2 linked regions of the Struthio camelus genome follow. The protein of the gene in region 2 purifies or fractionates together with the protein of the main gene of each other region. This does not show direct contact. Links are inferred from orthologs where the notes say so. Each region holds a gene or a part of one and is shown on either strand. Other genes may lie near its edges.

What was found. Proteins that work in one complex are often made in the same cells at the same time.
Region 1: the proteins of MYH9 (region 2) and GSK3B purify together in Homo sapiens (affinity purification with western blotting; 4 studies listed by BioGRID, with this or other methods). This does not show direct contact. The link is inferred for Struthio camelus from reciprocal best matches to the Homo sapiens genes MYH9 and GSK3B.

Annotation. Positions count from the first base shown.
Region 1 is NC_090942.1:93,115,762-93,126,126, forward strand, and holds the start of GSK3B (glycogen synthase kinase-3 beta), read left to right. Parts: upstream 1-6,443; 5' UTR 6,444-7,783; coding exon 7,784-7,871; intron 7,872-10,365. UniProt on the Homo sapiens protein: Constitutively active protein kinase that acts as a negative regulator in the hormonal control of glucose homeostasis, Wnt signaling and regulation of transcription factors and microtubules, by phosphorylating and inactivating glycogen synthase (GYS1 or GYS2), EIF2B, CTNNB1/beta-catenin, APC, AXIN1, DPYSL2/CRMP2, JUN, NFATC1/NFATC, MAPT/TAU and MACF1.
Region 2 is NC_090942.1:59,382,812-59,393,331, forward strand, and holds the start of MYH9 (myosin-9), read left to right. Parts: upstream 1-6,649; 5' UTR 6,650-6,822; intron 6,823-10,520. UniProt on the Homo sapiens protein: Cellular myosin that appears to play a role in cytokinesis, cell shape, and specialized functions such as secretion and capping. Required for cortical actin clearance prior to oocyte exocytosis. Promotes cell motility in conjunction with S100A4.

The DNA of each region.
Region 1 (10,365 bases), about 34 Mb from region 2:
CAGTGCTGCTAAATGCACAAAACAAACACGGAGGGAAAAAATTAGGTTGCTTGTAACAATTGTGGTCACAAAATGTTCAGGAGGAAATGAGATTTTGGAAACAATTTTTTTTTTCAAGAATGCAGTTGTTTCCATTGATTTCTAAGGGTTTTTCGTGCTTTCATACTCCTGATTTCTTGCCACCAAGCAGTTAAATCTTGCTGCCTGATCCTGAATCCTTCCTTGTAGAAAAGCTTTTGAATTATTCTTAACAGGCAGAGGCAAAAGCAACATGGCCTGATCAAATTATGAGGTGTGCTCTGTTGTGCACAGTCTAAAAGATTCTGCCGTATCAAGCAGGCAACAGGGAATTGGGGGAAATAGGTATTTTTTATGGAGAACACCCAGAACTCATGCTTTAAGGAGACAACAGTGAGTCTCTCCCGTTCTGTTTCCTGCACCTAATTTTAAGCTTGGTGTCTCCAGACCCTTTCCCTTTAGCCTGTGCACATATCTGATAGTTTTTCATATTTGATAACTTAGTTTCAATGCCACATTTCCCCAGATGTTTTAGAGATTTGGGAGAGAACTCTCCTTTAAAAAACAGCTATCTCTCCATCTCAGGACAACAACAGCTGTCAATACCAGATGTACAATGCAAGATGCAGCAACAATTAGTAACCATTTGCAAGCCAAAGATGAAGGAAGTAGTGTGAAGTAGGTTAGTGAGGAGCCCGAGACAGGGATCATTAAATTAATTATGCTTGGCAAATGCTCAGTGTGTGTGGGGGGGAATGACAATACCGTTGTACTTTGGCTTCTTCACAATTATCTATGTATTTGCCGACTGGTTCCATTTATTCCCCATTCCGACACCTTTTTACCTAGGATGAAACTGAGGGGAATCACCAGCTCTAATTCTGGGCTGGAAACTGAAGACCCCTGCTCATAGATACCACATACAACACTGCAAGTTCACTCCTGTGGCTGATGTATGTAGAATGACCAAGTTGTCATATCTCTGTTCAACCATGGCTTTTTTGCTAGTACCCAGGTGTATATTGTTCCTCTCTGCAGACGTGAGTGAATTGTATTTCCAACATACGAAACGATATGAGTTTTGTCTCACTCCTATCATGTAAGGCTCTACCCCATCAGGCGTTGTCTTCCCCTTCTCCCACAAGGAGCCGATAGTCCTGGGGGATCCCCTTCCCCTGCAGTTATTTTCAGTTAGGGTAAAAGCATCTGCAACAGCAAGGGCTGGACGTACACTTCATTGCATAACGACTGTAATCTCACTCTGTGGAGAGCCCTTGCGGCGAGGCCAGAATCCCAGGCAGGCTTCACCAGGCTCATCATTGCTTCCTTAGCTTCTCTTGCAACGCAGATATCTATTCCCAGTGGCCCTTTCTCAGTCTGTTGGCACCTTGCATTGTACGTAATGTTTTCTTTCTGAAGACTGTTTCAGTAGGAATTAGCGCATCCTCTTCCTGTATTTCTGAGAAGGCACGGTAAATCTCATTACCCTGGCGCAACATCCCCCAGCTGCTTGGAGGAGGAAGTGGAGAAAAATTGCCTTTGTTGGCTGTTGTGCCTGGCTCCTTGTAAAACTTCTACGTTGCTATGCTGACCTGGAAACCTAGCCTGAGCTGTCTCCCCTGCCCATGCCAATCTGCCCAAGGTGGTTCTGGGATGGTGCCATCATGTGTTTTCTCCCACTTGTCCAAGTCACTGTACCAAGGTCCTAATGAGTTTCTACTCACAGGGCAGTAGCGTAACCTCCTTCACACATCTACCAAGGGCCAAGAGTTGTCCTTATCCTATATCTCAAGCCAAGTCTTCCTAAACTGAAAAGATTTTCTTGAATGGATGGAAGGCCTCAGGGATCAGGCCGACTTTAACTCTTTGTATTTAGAAAGTCTCCTCAATAGCCACTTTGGAAGTTGATTGGGGAGGTAGGAAAATAGTATAAGCAGTGAGTGTGGAAAATTTATGGGCCCTTTCACTCATACTGCAGTATGGAGAGCCCTGGTAAACCCTGGGGAATGGGGGTCATTTTAAATTTCTTGCTAGAAGAATGACTCATCTGCTCTTTGGTATCCTCACTGCAGAAACAGACTGACTTGCTGACAGCACTGGAAAATACAAGTGGAAAGCAAATGGACATCTCTCTGGGGCTGCCTGACTGAATCAAATGTGAAGGCGATGATACACACAAAGAGCCCAATAATTTTCTAGATTTGAACTCTTTTGAGCTCCTGGGACATAGGCATCATTTTTGTGTTCAGGAGGACACATTTCTTGAATACTTGTTAAAGGCTCTTCAGACTGACACAGTTTCTCTTGACTCTGGACACTGCAGTCTTTTCAGGGTTAGTTATGAATAAGTTGTGGCCAAACAAATAACAGAGCAGAAGAAACCGCCAAACTGAGTAACAGGCTCTCTGGGCACAGTATGAAACATGATGGCTTTTTCAAGAGCCAGTGGTTAAGAACAACCTTAAACATGTCCAGAACATCTGTGGTGGGGACTTCCATAGGAGAATGCATTTGCCTCCTGAGTGAGTCACTGGTGTTTTCCATGTGCCATAACATTCCCATGAACCTGTATGCTGTGGCTGTACTTGTTCTACCGCGCTGTCAAATTGGGAAATGGAAGTTGTCCACAGCTCCTGTCACATTAAACTGTTCAGACCACTTGGCTCCATTGATCTTAGCAAATATACCTGGAGTCCTACAAGGCCTAAGTGCACCCACGCACATTCAGATCAGCAAAACATCAGCTGTTCTCTGAAGCAATTGTCAATGATGACATTTTGTGACAGGAAATCATTGCAAAATGCTGGGTTCTCAAGATTAAAAACTTCTGTCCTGCTCAGAAGAATAAACACAACTAGTACTTTCTAAACATAGATTCATTTGGATTTTGCTCTGGGACAAAAATCAAAACCACTTTTCAGGATTTATTGTCTAATCATTAATGCCTGGGCAGTCGGTAAATTTGTTACTATTACAATCTCTGATTTTCCACTGGAAAAAAAAAAAAAAAAGAAAAAAGAAAAGTTAAAGTTCAACCATAACCATTGGGTTTATCCATGCCAATTAAACCAGAAAAAAGCCATTACAGTATCTTGCTAAATTGTTTCTTGGATAACTCCCTCAGCAATACTAGGGAAATAGATGCAAAACCAGTATATCCATTAATATTCTTTTAATTCACTAGTGTTTCAAAGTTCAAGACAACCTTAAATGATTGCATCCTTATCAGCCTAACTGAGGTATAAAACACTACCCTCTTGCCCTCTCACCGTGGCATATGTTGGAATGACCCAGTAATAGCTGCATGGTAAGCAAACAAAGAGGCAACAGAAAGTCTTTCTGCTGAGTACCCACAGAGGAAGCAAAGGAGAAAGAAAAAGCAGGAGTTCCCTGTACAGCAACATATCTGCTTACTACCAATGCATGTTGGAGCAGAACTATTCCGTGTATGTTTAACATGACTGGATTTGATGTTTATGCCAGCAGACTCTGTCACACTTCTCACTCTGGCCCCGGCTCAGGCTGGAGTCTTGCATGTGCCCGCACGATATATGAAATGTAACCAACGAACCAATCGACCAAAAAATGTCCCCCTGCTATCAAGCTTTTTAAAGATTTGTTCTGTCCAAAAATAATACCAGTTTTCTAATTCACTGCCACCTTATGGCATTTTAGAGAGATAACACTTCAGTAATTTCTATCAGACGCTCAGTATTTTCAGGTACCCTCCCTGAGAACTTGGATGCTACCAAAAAAATGCTTTAATTTTGCATTTTAGCAACTATAAAGCTGTCTTTCCCATCCAGATCGGAACAATATTAATGTCTGGGACACTGGATTATTCTTGCTTGTGAAAACTGATCATTAAAACGTCAATTCTATTTATATTTACAGATTGTAAAGGGAGGTCATTTCATCAGCCAAGGGGTCAAACATAAATATGAAATTTGCAATGTTGTCAAAAGAGAACCTTTCAATCCAAAAGAGCAACTAGCTCACTCATGATTTGCCCAAATGATTTTAACTGTTAGTACAGTTTTGAAATCGAGAATGAAGGCTTAACAGATGCCCTTATCATGTGTTTATGGTTTTTCTGATAGCAGTCTTAACTAAGGAAATAGTCTATGAAAAAAAACTAACAGAAATTGGAAAGGGATGATATTTATCTGGTCTTCAAATACGTAACAATTCTCCTTTAAATATATGTGTGTGGTTTCAAGGTAGATGAGCAGAAAACTCTCTGACTGAAGTGGACAGGTTTTGGAGAGTTCATTGGTTAATAATTACTTGGAAATGTGGGCAGGACTGGCTAAGGGGAAGCAGGGCAGCTGAGATTTTTTTAGTGTACATTCCCCAAGTGGATGGATAGGGCTGGGATTTGGAAAAGCGAGATTAGTAGTAACTGAGAGTTTTGGTTTTGATATGGATTGTTTTGGTACTGAAGGGGAAACTGGTAGGGACGAGATAAACCATGTTGAGGAGTACAACCATGAAGGGTTGTTTTTTTTTTTTTTCCCGAGTTAACCTTGTTCTCCATAAGTAAATGAAGGTGATGTTTCATTTATGAATGTAGACTTGTCAGAGAGTTTTAAAAGACATGCGGCAAAGGGCTAATGTATGTGATTTTTATTTAATAGTCTTATGGGTAATGATGAATGCTAATGTAAAGAGATCATCGTCCCACTCCCCCTACCCCTGCCGCCGTTTTTCAGACTGTCTGCTTTGTCAAACAACAAAGCTTAGGGTCTCTCTTAGGTCAGTTCCACTATTTGTGTGGTCTTTTGAAAGAACTTCATCAGAATATAAGAAAACGTGATTTGTGTTGGTGTTGGTGCTCAAGGCTAAAAAGCGATTTCAAGCTCTGCTTTAAAACATGCCTGGAACATCTGATGGTTCATTTCCGGTAGAAGAAAGCTGGACACTGCCCAGTTGCATATTGACTTTGTCTTTTGAGTTAAGATCACTCTATATTAGAGAACTAACCCAATCTGTAGCCCAAATTGCTGTCCCCTGCTTTCTTCGCCTTCCATCCCCAGTAGTCTTGGTAGGGGGTGAAGAACTGTACCAGAATAGGAGAGAACGTGTCATTTTTTTGTGGTTGGTGACTTATGGAGACTGTGGCTGAGCAACGCTCAATATAGTGGTGTATCCGAGGGGTCTAGAGTGGTGAGTGAGGCCGGGTGGTTTGGGGGTGACTTCAGACTGTCTCTTTCAGTCCTTGGTAAGGCACGCCACCCTCGAATTTTAATTTCCCAGCTGCACAGAGCTGTGCAGGTAGCTCATGAAGAATCAAACCCTAAAAAGTCCTAGGTCCTTCGCGATAGTTAAAAATCACGTATCATTTATCAGAAGGTGAAAAGGTTTCTGGCAAACCAAGCACCCTGGGGTGAGCGGAGTGCTGAACAGGACCGTTTTGAGAGGGTGAGCTTGTTTTTTGCCTTGGAACAAAGCTCTTGCAAAGGATAAACGTCAGCTGCCTCTGGCCTGATCTTTGCTTGCTCATGTAGCAATGCCGTTTAGAGAAGGACTGAAAAAAGTAAAAGACTCTGGCAGCACTCTTATGCCTTGAAAGAAGCAGCTCTTAAATTTAAGAGTCTTAACACTGGCAAGAAAATGCTTCTGCCAGTCCAAGTTATTTTCTTGGTGGTATAAACTATTCTGGCAAGTACTTTTTTTTTTTTCCTAGTGGTAGAAGGAAGAGGTTCTCAGTTTTGGCTGAGGTCTGCTGAGTAATTTTCCTGGGGTCACAGCAGCAGGCAGCAGTGCTCCAGCTCCGGCTTTGCCAGGGCCGGGAGCTGTTGCCCCACAGACGCGTTAAGACCCCTGAAGAGCGTGAGCCCTTCCCGAAGAGCGTCGCGATAAACGCCTGGGACTCCGGGCAAGGCCAAGCCAAACCCGCTCATGGTGGCACCAAGGCCGATAAAATGCGGATAAAATGACTGCAGGACGCTCAGACGAGCTAAGGCGATTAGGTGCTGGCACAGGCCGCACCAGGCCGCGACGCCCCCTCCCTGCGCATGCGCGACGGCGGCACTGCGCACGCGCGCTCCCCTCCCCCCAGCCCCGCCCTGCGCCTCCAGTGAGGTCATAAAGGTGAGCGAGGCGGGGCGCGCGGCTGGGAGGTGGCGCCGCCGAGCCCCAGTGGGAGCGGAGGCTGCCAGCAGCGCCGGGCTGCGGATTGGCGCCGCGCAAGCAGCTGGATGGCGTCTTCGGGCCGCCTCATCCCCGCCGGCCAATCAGAGGCCTCCGCCGGGGAAGCCAATCGGAGCCCGGACGCGTTCTCCGCCTCAGGCTGCGGCTTGAAACCGTCCCAGGGCGACAGCGCGTCCCCTCATTGGCTCTCCCGCTTCGGCTCTCTTCGGGTGGGCCCGGTAATGGCCGGAAGAGAGGGCCTCTTCCTATTGGCTCGCCGATCGCGCTGCTAGGGCGGCGGCAGCAATTGCCGATTGGGTCTGCGCTCTCCTTCGGCGAGACTCGGCTGCGCCCGTAACGACTCCGCGATTGGTTACGAGGCGTTAGAGGCATTTCTGTAGCGGCCTCAGGATTGGCCCCGAGGAGGCTCGGACGTTTCCGTAAGGGCCTCGGGCTGGGGGCTGGCGAGTGCGTCGGGCTCTTCGGCTGGGTATTCACAGAAGGTGCTTAGGGCCGTTCCGCAGCGTAGGGCGGCAACGCGCATAGGCGGCTGCGCGGCTTTGGCGCACACACAGCGCGCAGCAGCAGGAGCCCGGCACGCAGCGGAGGCAGCAGCGGGGACAAAGGGACTGATCGGCAGGAACGGGGAAGGGGGCCCGGCAGGAGGCAGCCGGCGCCGGGAGGGAGCGGCAGGAGCCTTTAGCCGGGCGGGCGAGTCCCATGTGCCTTGGACGCCCGGGGAAGCAGCAGCAGCAGCCGCCGTCGCCGCCAGCGCTCTGAAGCCGGCTGACGAGGAGCTGGGGAGCCGCCGCCGCCGTCATGGCCTGCACCGCCGCCTCCGGCCGCCACCCGCACTGCAGCCTCCCCAGCCTGAGCCGCCGCCAGCTGCCCCTGCGGGCGCAATGAGGAGCCGCGCCGGAGCCGCCGCCTCAGCGCCGCACTGAGAAGCGTTAGCGAGCGAGCGAGGCCGCCCGGGCCGCTTCACCCCCTACTCCGCCCGCCGCGGATCCCACCGCCCCTGCCGGATCCCCTTGCAAGCGGGGCGCATCACCTCCTGTCGGCGGATCCGGGAGCCCCGAGATCCTTCCGCCGGGGAAAAATAGTCCCGTTCCCTGCTGCCTCCCGAAGAGGCGAGGGGGAAGGAAAGGAGAGGGGAGGGGGAAGAGGAGGAGGAGGAGGGGAGGAAAAAAAAAAAGAAAAAGAAAGAAAAGCCCGGCGGACGGGATCAGAGGAGCCCGGCCATAAGCCTCCGCCCCATGTGACTGGCGCTCAGGGTGGGGGCAGCGAGGCCTAGCAAACCCCCATCGCTTCCCAGCCGGGAGAAGGAGCGGCGGCGGCGGCGGGGGCGCTGCGGACTGGGTGGAGGCCGCGCTCGGAGCCGCTGGTGCTGCCGGCGAGGATGTCCTTATAGGAGGCGGCGTGAGGCGGAGGAGCCGCGAGAAGCGCGACGAGACCCAGAGGGCAGGGGGCTTCCCCGGCCGGGTTTTGGGGGGGGGGTCGGGGGGGGGAGAGGGGGGGCCGGGAGCTGAATGCAGCGGGCCTGAGCCGCCTCCTGCGGCCGGGCGAGAGCGAAGCGGGCGGCGGCGGCAGCGGGGCAGGAAGGTGACCAGGGGCAGAGGAAGCGACGGAGACCATGTCCGGGCGGCCCAGAACCACCTCCTTTGCGGAGAGCTGCAAGCCGGTGCAGCAGCCCTCGGCCTTCGGCAGCATGAAAGTTAGCCGTGAGTATTGATTCGCCGCCCGCACCCTCTGCGGGGCGCCCGCCGCGGTGTTTCGTCCTGGGGGTGGCGGGGGGGGTTGTTAATTTTTATAATTCAATTTATATATATATATATTTATATATATACGTATTTATTTTATATATGTATATCTTTCGGTAAATACGGTAACGCAGTGGCTCGGAGCCTGGGCAGTGGCAGAGTCCTGGGCTGCCTCTAGCCCTGGATGAGGCGGCTCCCTTTCTCTCCCCTTCCCTCCCCCTCATTAACCTTGAATAGGCACACATCATGGTTTCGTTTGGGGCCTGCTTAACCAAAAAAAAAAAATATATATATATATATATATGTATATATCGCTTGTTTTATCCGTTTCTACAGCCTCTTGTCTCTGCTAATATTGTGAGCCGCCCGTTTGGCTAATTGAAAAGAATATTTCTTTGGAAAATGGATTGGAAGCTCTAGAGGCTTTTTTTTTTCCTCCTTCTGTGAAAGGAGGAAATGAATTACGGACCCGTAGGTATGGTCGTGACATTCATGTTCAGTATACGTTTGTATAACTGTTGGTTCTCCTGGAGAAAGCTTAGTAGATTTTTTTCCAGGCAGCTGTAGATCGGGTGTGAGCACCTTTTGTAAGCCTTTCTTTCTCTCTCTCTCTCTCTCTTTTTTTTTTTTTTGTGGGCTGCACTAAAATGTCTCTCTGTAATACGAATCAGGCTCTGCTAAAATGCTCAATAGAGGGGATGAGGAAATCGTTAATATGACATGTGAGTCTATGGAGTAGTTATTTCAAGCTCAGTATGCCTTTTCCAGTTTTCTGATCAGAGGAATTTTTCTTAAGAACGAGGCCTATGCTCTATTCTGCACAGGCGTGTTGTAGATGGAATAAGTATTTAATATGTGCCCATCCTTCATATTCTAGCCAGTGGGATTGGGTATTTCGTGCGAATTGGAAATGTGTATTAAATATTAACAAATGTATGGTGTGAATGGAGAAAGGCCCTATTCTGAGTCATGAAAGACTAGCTACGTGTCCGCAATACAGAATTTGTTGGCTCCTGATTTGAATATGTTCATATTAACAACTGAATTGTTCCTGCAGGTTCGTGTTACTAGCATAGTTCTCAAAAGTATATATTTTTTTCTTGTGGAAATAGAGGGTGGCATCATTATGGGACGCGGAATGCTTGGTATGCATTACTGTTCAATCGATTTATTTGATGCTTGTGTATAGCCACACCTGACAGCACTGTGTGTGTGTATCATATTGTTTTGGGCATCTCATGCCAAAGCTGTATGTGATTGTGAGCTTTTGACATACCAGAAATGTTGGCATTTTTCTGCACCGAAATGTCTTCTACTGCGGTTGAAGCCTTGAAGAGAGCATTGGGCTTGGGGTCTTGTAGTCTACCTTGTATCTGCATGATCAGAGTGCCTGCAGTACTTAGAAAAACATGGAGTGCAGTTAATCCATATTAGCAGCATAAGAGTGTATGTTTGATCAGATCCAGCATTAGTGTGTATTAAGACTCTTTAATTTTTGTGGGGAAAATCTGTATATGACTCCATTTTAATTTATTGATTCACTTTATGTGAATGTGGCATAGGAAGCGGGTCTTGTTGATCAATATTTCTGCAGGTGGTTCTGTTTAAACCAAGCCAGACCTAGACCTGTCACGCTCAGAAACTATATTTGTCTTATTCCAGCTTTAAAGCTTGATTCTTGAAAGGTCATTGATACTCTTTTCCCATTTATTTGAGGTCAAAGACTAGACAGATGCTTACCTATGAAGAGGGTGCTAACCGATGCAGACTAACAAGTTTGCAAATTTGATTCAATCCCAAGTGTATAACACTGAGGGAGAAACAAAGGCCGTAGCATAAAGCACATGCACTTGTGATAACCCCCACAATCGCTCTAGTCATGTGCCCTGTTCCTTCTGCTGTCTGGAAAAAAATGTCAGAACAAAGCAAGAGAACCACATACAAGGACTCTGTGGGAAATACAGTTCATATTTTCAATTAAACTATCCAAGTAAGACAGTCCAGAAAATTAAGATTTAAAAAAAAAAAAAATCTTTTGTGAGAGAGCAGTGATGCTGCCAGGTGCCAAAAACAGTGGTAATTGTCTGGGTCTCGTGAGTTCTGGTAGCATCTTAAGGTATGATGTAGCAAGTCATCTATTAGCAGTATTGAGTGCTTGGAAAAAATCACTTGTATGGTGAACAGGGAGTTTCTTGGCTCTTGCTTTTTACTTTTTATATATAGATAGATACTTTAATGATATTCTCAGCCCTTTTGAGTGAAAGCTGGAGTGAAAGAATCCTTGTGAAGCAGATGAAAATTGATGGTTCAGTTTGAGTCCTATAGTCAGCTTTAGTTACCTCTGTCTTGGTGCAGGTCTTCTCCAAGTTGCCAGGGATTGAAAGCTGACTTGCTTGATGTCAGCTTCATTGCTTGTGTTTGTAAGCCTGGAGGAGCAGTGGAATGAAGCGATCAG
Region 2 (10,520 bases):
ACCTTGTGGTTTTTCTGACTCTGCAACTTTTTAAATTCACTAGAACTTTCCATCTTAAAAAAACCTCTCTAAGGCAAAAATAGTAGGCTGCAACTAACTGCCAGTGCTGCAGTTGCAGCCTGAGTGTGGTGCCAGAAGGGGTTGCTGTGCTGAGCAATACCTGTTCCCTCCCCTACTTCTTGGCTGGTGCCCTGGGCTGAGTTCAGAGAGGAAGAAGCAAGGAGCAGTTGCCTTTTTCCCTTCAGTGCTGTGCAATACCTTGAGTGCTTTATGGAAGGAAGGAGCCAGGAGAAGCACGGGAAACCTATGTGATAGGAAAGGGTGGTCCCCTTCTGCTCCTGGACGAGCCAAATGGGTGGAAACTAAAGACCTCTAGAGAGAGCTTGAAAACGTGGCTCCCCTCATCCCTTTGGGGATGGAGTGAGGAGAAACCCTGTGACTGCCTCCCTGGTGCATTGGTGGCAAGAGATCCCCAGTGGGCATTGAGACTGGGGTACCAGTCCCACACAGAGGGGCCAGAGCAAGGGACACTGGAGCAGCTCATCCCCATGGGCAGAGGAGAGTGGACAGCTGCAGACAACGAGGCTGCAGTACCCAACCTCCTGCCCACCTGTGTGGACCTCCCAGACCCTGATAATCAAAACAGCCACAATAATAATGCACTAAAATTGACTGACTTTTCTTCAGGGCATGTAGCTTCTGTGGAGAAATGTCTCTGAATATATATACACGCATATATACATATGTATATACATGTATATATATATGTATGTATGTTTATGCACACACACACACACTGTAGCTGCTGATGAACAAATCTATGACCCAGCCTGTTTGCTCTTCCCTCTTAGGGGAAGATTGAGCTTCTGGTACCCTTCTCGGTGCACACCGCTAGTTCCTCAGCTGCTAAAGGCACCCCCAGCTCCATCTCTCCTCTGACCAGAGGAGTGGTTGAGTAATACTGAAAAACAGGAAATTTTTGCAATGACAGTCCTAAAAAACATCCACTTCAAGTTGTCTGGAGAGGTTTTGGTGTTTTCTGGAGATAATGGTGACCTCAGGCCTCCTGAGCTGCTACAGCTGCTCTGTCCTGGTGCCTGCAGAGCAGAAAGCGAAACAACAGTTCCACATATATGGTGCGTGTAGCTTCACGGGGCTCGGGATGGAGAGGAGCTGCAGTCCCTGAGGCTGCTTTATTCTGCTTCACCCCAAGGCAAAAACACTTCCCCATGGGGCCCATGGCAGTGGGCACAGGAACCGATGAGCTCCTTTCCTCACAGGCTGCTTTAACCAGCGGGTCGTGCCACATTGCAGTGAGCAGGTAACTAGTGCTCTGGGTCTGGCTAGCACAGCAGATGTGATGTAAATGGAGTGTTGTACTGCATGCAAGCTGCGACATGCCTTCTAGTATTTATATAACATTGTTTTGCTTTAATCTGGCTTTTTAAGTAAATTGTCAAAACCCTTTCTGTTCACTAGAAGCCTTTTATTTATTTATTTATTTATTTATTTATTTATTTATTTATTTATTTTGGACTGCAAGTTTCATCTTTCAAAGCTTAGCTAGTTTTGAGTGATGCTGAAAAATCCCATTTGCAGTGGCTTTTTGTTACATGCCTGTATTGTTTGTGCAAAAGTGGTTGTTTTCTTTTCACCCTGGCATAGCTCAGGAGTGACTGCATGGTCTTAGCTCAAACTTTCTAAAAATATTCATCCATGAGGAGAGATCCAGCATGGCAGTGTTCAGACCAAGAAACTAATGCTTTGGAAAGGCATGACTCTGAAAAGAGAGTGGTGGCAGCATCATGAAAACTATCTGGTAACTATAAGCAGTGGAGCTGCAATGCATGTCATCCAGAGTATTTGCAGAGTGCTTTGGGTCTCTTTGGGGCACAGCAAGATAGAGAAGTAATGGTACCCAGGTTATAGGGGAAGTCCAAGCAGTGCCCACACAGCAAGTAGGGGCATAGGGGAAATACTGTCTGCAGGGAGGCTATAGGGTGACTCAGAAGTCATAAAGAAAAGCACCTCCTGCTGCTTGGAGAAGCAAATCTGAAAGATGAGCCTTCTCCTCAAGAGAGGTTGGTCTTAATAACCACATCCTCTTCTCCAAGGGTGAGACACTCGACCTTGGGGGAGGAGAGGATGGCAGGGACTAACCAGAGTATTAATCACACATATGACAAATTCCAGGAAAACATGTGGAAGCTGCTTTTTGTCCTTCCACTGGCTGATTGCAGGAAGCTCCCCAGGTGATGGCTTTAGCAGCTGCTGGGACAGGAGACCTTATTGTTCTGTGCTCATGATTTTACAGTCTTGTCAGTTTTTGGCAGGAAACTACACAACAAAACCTTCTAGTTCTTCTTTCTTGCTCCCTCGGGTTGCTCTCAAGGGGCTGATGCTTTGGTTTATCTTTTCCATTACACAGTACCTGAGGAGATCCAGCTTCCCTTTCCCAGCCAGGCCAAGTCTGATGGGCTTTGCCCTAAGATCCTGGCAGGACCACAGAGAATTTTCCCTAGACCTCAGACAACATTAAACATCACCACTCACAAGCCTGCCACGGCATTTCTAATGCTAAACTATGCGGTTGCCCAGCACACCAGCCCCCTTGTACCTATCTGGGCGCTGTTTAGTTCTTGTTCCCATTTCTCTGACCTTGGGCTCAAGTTCTCTTCCCAATTCAGGTTTCCTTAGTGACACTCAGAAGAAGCAAGTTTTGCATCTTTTTGACCTGTCCGGCATAGCACAGGGGGCCAGAAGGTGGTAGCACACTTGAGATTAAAGGATACGAGAATGTGAGGGACCTGTTGCTGTTGGTCTCACTAGAATCTGCAGCATGGAAACTTGAAACATGAAGCTATGTCCAAGAGCAGACTTCTAGGGTTGCCATCATCTCCCTGTTCTGCTGCTTCCTCATGATGCCAGACCTCCCTACAACATTGTGCCCAGCTTGCAGCTACTAGTAGCACGTGGCTGACCCAAGGGCACAGTTTCCGGCCTTGTCCTTTTTAGCTTGCAGCCTGGGGCCCTGAGACTGAGCTGAGGCAGTGTTAAATCCTGAACCTCTTCCCCGCCTCTTTTTTTCCTTCCCTTCATGGGGTTTTACACCAAGGCCAGGAATGAAGGTCACATCCCCTCTGAGGAATCAACAGGCTGTGGCGTTTCTAGCAATGGAGGCTGCGCGCTGAAGTCTGCCCTCATTAAATCCCCCTCCACCATGGAGCTGACGGTGCAGGCAGGTTGGCATGTCACCAGCGTTGCTAAGGGTGTCAGCGGAGGCTGAGGTTTTGCATCAAGCAGATGCATCAGGTGTTGCAATCTCACCTGGAGAAGAGAGTGCCTGGCTGAGGTTCAGCCCTCTCCACATTCGCTTGCATCCATGATCTCATGGGGTTTTGCAAGCACTGGCTGGGCACAGTCAGCCCACAGTGGGGAAGCTGCAAGGAAAGCTCAGAGCCCCGGCATGATTCAGCTGGGGAGTCTCTCTCGTGGCTGAGTCAGGCTTTATTCCAGCATCTTTGTGCTGTGCTTCGGTAGGGGGGGAGGGATGTCTCAGGCACAGCAGGAAACCGAGGCCATGGCCACCCCCACATTGCTGGTTGGCAAAAAGTGAAGGCTGGAGTCCTTCCCTACTCCCATGCGTGAGGACAAAATGGGTCTCCCTGGCACTGCCACCCCCAGTACAGCATCCTGGCCAAAACTGGCCAGCATGAGCCACGGTCCACTGATTCGCTCCATCTGGCCATGCGGGGAGATGGGCCATCGCTTTGCAGCAGCAAGCAGCCAGATAACAGGGCCCTGTGCCCAAAGGAGCCTGGCCGGAGACCACCACTGCTGGCTGGGGCTTTGCCCTGCAGCCTCTCCCAGCACGTTGTAGCCCCACGTGCCAGGGTCTCACGTGCTCGCAGAGGACTCTAGGAGGCCGGAGAAAGTCAGGAGGTCTCCCAACTTATCCACAGCCCTCCTCTCTCACTCCCTGTCCCTAAGAGCATAGCCTGGGGGCCCAGGCAGCCACCCTGCTTGCTCTTCTGCCCCAAAACTGGCTCTTGCCATGGTTGCTTCTGGTTTGCGGTATTGCTGTGCACAAGTAAACAGCTGCATCATGTCACCCTTGCAGGCTGCGCTGCACAGATAAATGGTATGATTCTGGGACGGAGGTGCCAATATATGGTTAGCTAGATTGAAGGGAGAGGAGAGGATCACTTAGCCATGACAGGGGGACCCCACTGCACGTTTCGTTTGTGTTTCCCACCAACATGATGTCTCTTGATCTCATCTCTTGACACATTGACTTTGGTACAGCAGTAAGGGTAGCAGTAGTGACCTCTGGTTACAATAGTAACCTCTGGTTTCCAGAAAAGGTGAATGGGCTCTTCCCAGACAATAGGATCTGCGGGTGGCTGGCAACAAGCCCAGGGAAGCCGGCCCTAGGACCTGATGCGCGCTGGAAAAACATGCCGCTGATCCAGGCGCTGATCCTTCTACCTTTAAAGCTTCCCTCCTGCGTGGCGGCAGGTCGGGCAGGCCGTGAAAGCCTGTCAGGCTCTTGCCCCTTGTCTGCAACGTTGCCAGGGCTGTGCGGAGCTCCCTGTGCCGCTGGGGCTCCTGCCCTGCTGGAGCACGCAACCAGATATTTCCTGCTTGCGCACGCCTTCAGGGCAGGCGTTTCCAGAGATCAGCTCCCTTTTAGCCCCTGTACTAAGCAAAAAGATCAGCGTCCCGAGCGCTTCAGAAAACTGTGTCCGTCCGAGCGCTTGGAGACAGGGCGGTGAAGGCTGGGCATGAAGGAGGGCCACCCGCCCGCTGTCAGCCACCCGCCCGGGGCTGGAGAGGGCGGCAGCTCCCCGCTTCCAGCCGCTGGTGGAGGCCCGTGGCACTGGGAGAGAACCCAACTGTCTGAGGGGGCTGCTCCTCCTGGCTGAGAGGGGCTGGTCTGTGCTGGCTCTGCCCTCTCCCGCGCCACGCCAGGGCGAGCTGGTGGGGGGAGGATGGGACAGGAAGGCCCTCGTTATTCAGGGCTTGCTAATTAGACGGGAATGTTATCTCCAGCCCAGATGTCAGCACTGACCTCCCTCTAACCTCCATCTGGAAATCAAAACAGACACAACTCTGTTTGTTTTAAAATAATAAAAATAAGCATTTGGGGTGAAGCAGGAAAGTCTGGCCCTGGGGGTACGGCTGGGGAGGGAGGAGGGCACGCGACCAGATAAGCTCGGTGAGATATGCTGAGCTGCGGAGTTGGAAGGGATGGGCCACCCTGCCCTGGGCAGAGAACAAGGTCTCCATGGCTTACTGTAGCTGTATCCATATTTTGGATCCTCTGACCTATTTCCAGCAGTGGTGACGGTGCAGTTTGCCTCAGTCCTTTACCAGACATGGCTTTCCATCCCACCCCAGCTGGGCCTGGTAGATCCAGAGGTGGAGCTGCTGCAGGGGGTGGGCTGAGTTTGAATTTAACTTCCATGCCTTTCTCTGGGATTGACCAAAGGGTCTCAGTGGGAGATGCTGACCCCTGGAACAAGCTCAATGTTTCAAATTTGACCAGACCTCCTTTTGCCTACCTAAGGCAGCCCCCCAAATTGTCTGCAGGCTAAAGGGAGCTGTGTGATGTGAACAGTCAGTGGTTTTTGTCCTTGGTTTCTAGTAAAAATGTATTGTATTATACCTCTGTAATAATCTCTTATAGCTGAGGATCAAACTTTGACCTGCTCTGAACTGAGCCAGGCCTTTGAGCACCTCACCCTTCATTACAGAGATTTATATCTCTGTTTCCCATAGGAGACCTCTTTTATTTTCTTCCTCTTCTTTGTAAGTCCACAGCTCTGGCTTGGCTCTGAACGCCAAGGAGGTCTTTACCCAGTATCCCTCATCCTTCTCTGCCAAATATTCCAGCATCATGGGACTGCAGCACCAAAGACCCTTAACACAGAGGCTTGATGGCTATGTTCCTGCTCCAAAATGAGGAAAGGATGTGGCCAGCTGAGAACCGGCACCCTCAGGTTTTCTCTTTCTGTTGCTGCCTCTTCCCTGGTCTGTAACTTAGCACTGCAGGACCCATGCCCGTGCCTTACACAAGGCAGCTACTGGTCTGGGCTTGGCCCTACCCTGCCTAATCTGTCCAGACTGCACAAACAAGAGTTTGGCCTGCACTGAAGTGCCTCAGGTCCTCCATCTGGGGAGGTACACCTCTTCACAGAGCTTCTGGCTTTGTAAGGCGGAAGCTGAGCTGCACACTCAGCTGACAGTGCAGAGATGCCCTGTCCTTGCCTCCCTCCTCCTGCCTGCAGATCACGTCTATGACCTATTTGGTAGCCTCATATCTGAGGTCTTGCATCCCTGCTCGGTCCCTTTTGCCATGTATTTCCCCGATCCAGAGCCTAGAGCTCTTCTCAACCTTCCCCATTTCCCATCCTTTATGAAGACTCCAGAGGGATTGCACATCAGGCTACAATTAGCAGTTCTTCTGTCTGTGCAGGGGGGATCCTGCTATTGCAAATGGCACCACTGATTTGCAATCATACGTCATTTTGCCTACCATCGTTCCTAGGCAGCAAGCAGGTAAAGGTCTTCCTTCTCAGTCTCCTCCTTTCAAAATGCTTGTCTGGTCCATGAGTAATGGGTGTTCTTTTTTTTTCATGCTTTAAAGGTTGTGCCTCACAGTTATGACATCATGGCAGTGATGCATTGCCCTCCGGCAACATCGCCAGAGCAGAACATGATTTCTGTCGTCCTGCCTTTTGTCTTCCAGTCCTAGCTACTGCCTGGTACACCTTGTTTCCCTGAGCCTCAGAGTTACTGAAGCAGAATAATAACTGAGAGGTGAGTAATTGAGAAGCTACCTGACCAGATTTAGACCTGACTGTAAACATCTTCTCTGGTAACAATGGGAAGGAGGATCCATGTTTGCTAGGGTACAGAGCAACTGAAGGAGAAGGATGATACACAGGTGTCCCTGGGTGCACTCACAGAAGGCATTCACGCAGTGTATGTGCAGTAAAACTCTGCTCCAGAAACCAGCATGGCTCCACAAACTTCAGTGAATTTGCACCCACTTTTATTAGCTGAACTTCTGAGACAGTATTTACGTGATAGGTAGGTGCACTGGCTCTCACTGTGTGACCATGCCTCCAACACACTTAGCATGCACACACAGGAACACGGGTACTGTGTACACCCCCCTCCCCCCCCACCTCAACAAATGCACTCACAAAGATATGTGCTTATACAGGTAGGTGGAGACACCTGTTCTTCTCCAGGAAGTGAGACAGACAGTTCCTCAGGCTGTTTCAGGATGGTCCTTTGCATTTGAAAGAAAGAGATTAACAAACTGGAGCAACTCCGGGGAAGGACCAGTAAGCTGGCTAGGGGGCTAAAGCATCTGCTCTATAAGGAGAGGCTGAGGTAGCTGGGTTTGTTTGGCCTAGAGAGGAGAAAGTTAGGAGGGGGAAGGGATCTAACCACCTTCTACTACCCAAAGCCGGGTGATAGAGAAGCTAGGTCAGACTTTTGTCAGAGGTGCTCAGCGAAAGGACAAGAGGCAACAACACAGAGATCGTGGAATCACCATGCTTGGTTTCATAGCCCGGCTGGACCTGGTGAAGCACTCTGATCTAACTCTGAAACTAGCCCTGCTCCAAGCAGTTGGTTGGACTAGAGACTTCCAGTGTTACCTTCCGCACTAAATGACTCTATGACTTTGGCAGTCCTACATGTTTGACAACAGAGTTTCCTTAATGCAGAGGCTGATCACAACCACTTGCATCTGATATGCTATAACAACCCCTGTGACCCCTGTGCAGATGGAGTGAATTCATTCATGGTGTCACTGCAAAAGGGGTTTTCTGGTTTCTCCTGGACTGTGATTCCCTGATTGTTTCTGACCAGCCTATGTCTGGGCTGCCACTGAATAATCCCTCTCACAGATGTGCCTTCCCAGCGTCTCTCTGGCACCTAGCTAGTCAACTGGGCCAAGAAAGTGATCCAGCTGGAAACATCTCTCATTCTTTTGGTTTATATTTGTTTCCAGCTCAATCAGCTGATTGTGTGATCTAGGGCTGGCAGTGGGAGTGCGAATATTGGAGGAGGAAGCAGAATAGGAGGGAAGGGGAATTCCTCTTTTGGGGGCTGCCCAAACTTGAGCTGGCTTAGAGCAATCATCAAACAACAGCCCTGATCTTTGTTAGGGTGAGAAGGAATGTGACGTTCCATCATTCTAGGTTAACCTAATCCAAGTTACTTGTCTCAAGGAAAGGGTGCACAGCCTCTCTTTCTTGAGCCATATGCCACCTGTGAGCAGTTCCAGGTGGCTGTTGTGGTAAGCTCAGGAGAGATGGTGCTGTGCTGGGACACAGCAGATGAAGATGCAGGGTAATCTGAAATCACAGCTACAGGAGGACACGAGCCAGTCAGTGTCTTGTGGCCAACACCTTTGGGTCTCAGTGCATGTCTGTGTGTGCCTGGCCTTGGTGCCTCCCATGGGGAGGGGGGAAGGACAGGAGTCCTACCTATGAACCATTCCCATAACTCCTGCACCCTCTGGATGCTTTCTGTCTTGCCTCTTAAAATATTTGGCCTGAGAACCATAAAAGCTCTGTACATGGTATTGAAGTTCATTAAATTTGGCAGCTTGTGTACCTCTGACTAAACCTGAGTATCTGACAATAGTAAGACCATGTGGTAAGCATTTAGCTCACTCAGCCCTGTGTTTCTGGGACTTGTATTATAGAGGAAGCTGGCTGTGCTGCTGTTTCCGCTCCTATAAAATATAGATAACTACCTCCTGGAGTGCTAAGTATGACTGTTTGGTAAGGATCTCTGAGGGCTGGCAGTCAGCGTGTGCTCTGTCCTCTGAAACACCAGCCTTTCACAGCTCCTAAGTAGAGTGGCTAATCCCTTGCCTCCCAATCTGCTGTTGCTTCCCAAAGCATTTCCGACATCTCAAAAGGAGGTGGGTGCCGCAACATCCCTCTTTTCTTCCCCATCGAGGGAAACTGAGTCACACAGGGGTGATGCCCTACAGACTGGTGGCAGGCCCAGAAAGAAAAATGCAGTCTGAAGCCCTGCTCACCATACTCCCCCACCCCAGCCACCATACACATGTGATCTGGTGGCTTAACTTTTCATGTCCTAGCTTTAATGAGCTTGTGTCAGGAATGGTATGTGCATAGCAGCCTTATCTGATGACAGTGACATTTTTAGCATGCTTATGCTTGGTTTTATTTGTAACCAGTTTCTAGGGCAATTCAGCTGAATGGTTTGAACAGCCTTGAAATGTGTAAGAACCCAATACGTACACTGGCTGCTCTGCCAGAGTTTTTGGGGGACTCTGGAGCATGTTCAGAGGCAAAAGGATCTGTAACAGACTCAGTTTGTGCACCAGATTTGCCAGCTGCAGCCTTTCACACACTCACTTGTGTCCAACAAACAACACTGGGATTTTTTTTTTGTTTGTTTGGTTTTCCTTTCTTTTTTTCTTCCGGTTCTCAGTAGTATCACGACCAGATGGGAATAGGTTTCCCATGGCCGATGCTGGTGACTCTCCAACCCATTTCTCCCTGAAACCCGCTACATCACAAATGCAGACGTTTCTCTTGCATCACAGCTCCAGCTAGTAGGAGGTATGAGTGAGAAAGGGAGGGGTCGTTTTCTAGTTTGAAATTTAAACAGCTGGATTCAGAGAGGGTTCCCAGGGTTTTTCCCAGGAAGGAGGTCAGTGGATTTTACAGGCACATAGCCTGGGAGCAAACGCCAGGAGTGCCCCTTGAGGCTCCACCTCCGCAGCTCAGCTTGCAGTGGAGCTCTCTTGCCCATATAAGGCTGCAGTTGTCACAAAGCAAAAGAGCCATAAATAGTCGTTTGATCGTTACCTGCCCCGCTCTGTGTGAGACTGGGCACCTTCCCAAGCCAGACTCTTCCTGCCTGTGCTTCCCAGTTCTCCCTTCCCCACCCCAGCTCCAGGAAGGCAGCATTTCCCATGTGTCTGCTCAGGGATGCGCTGAAGTCTGATTTCTTCAGGTGCTCTGCCCCCGACGTCCTTGCCTCCGACTGTTCAGAGTTTGTAAAGCCTCCCATCTGAGACTATGCATGTGCTTTACAGTAAACTGCTGCAGGAGGGAGGGCTCTGGCTCAGTTTCTCACATGTCTATGTGCCTTTTTTAAGCAGCTTGTGGGCCAGAAGGGCCCAAGTTTCTTTGCTTTGAAGGGTAGCACTTTCATTCTTCAACTGAGAGAGTTTATTTACAAGGAAAGGGGTAGGAGGAGAAATGAAAAAGCTTAGCAGGGCAAAACAAAATGCTAGTGGAGAAGATAAGCAGCCATGTGCAAAATGGCTGTTTGTTTTCTTCTCTCTCAGCATGTGAGATCCTGCAGGAGATGATGCACCCAGGCAGGGGATTGCATGATTGGGGGGGGGGGGAGGGGGGCAGGGGGGAGCTGCGGTGTCTGGTGTGGGCAGGCAGTGCACCACTTCGCTGAGCTCAGCCCTCATCCTGGCGCGCAGCTGGGGCACTTCCCTTGTG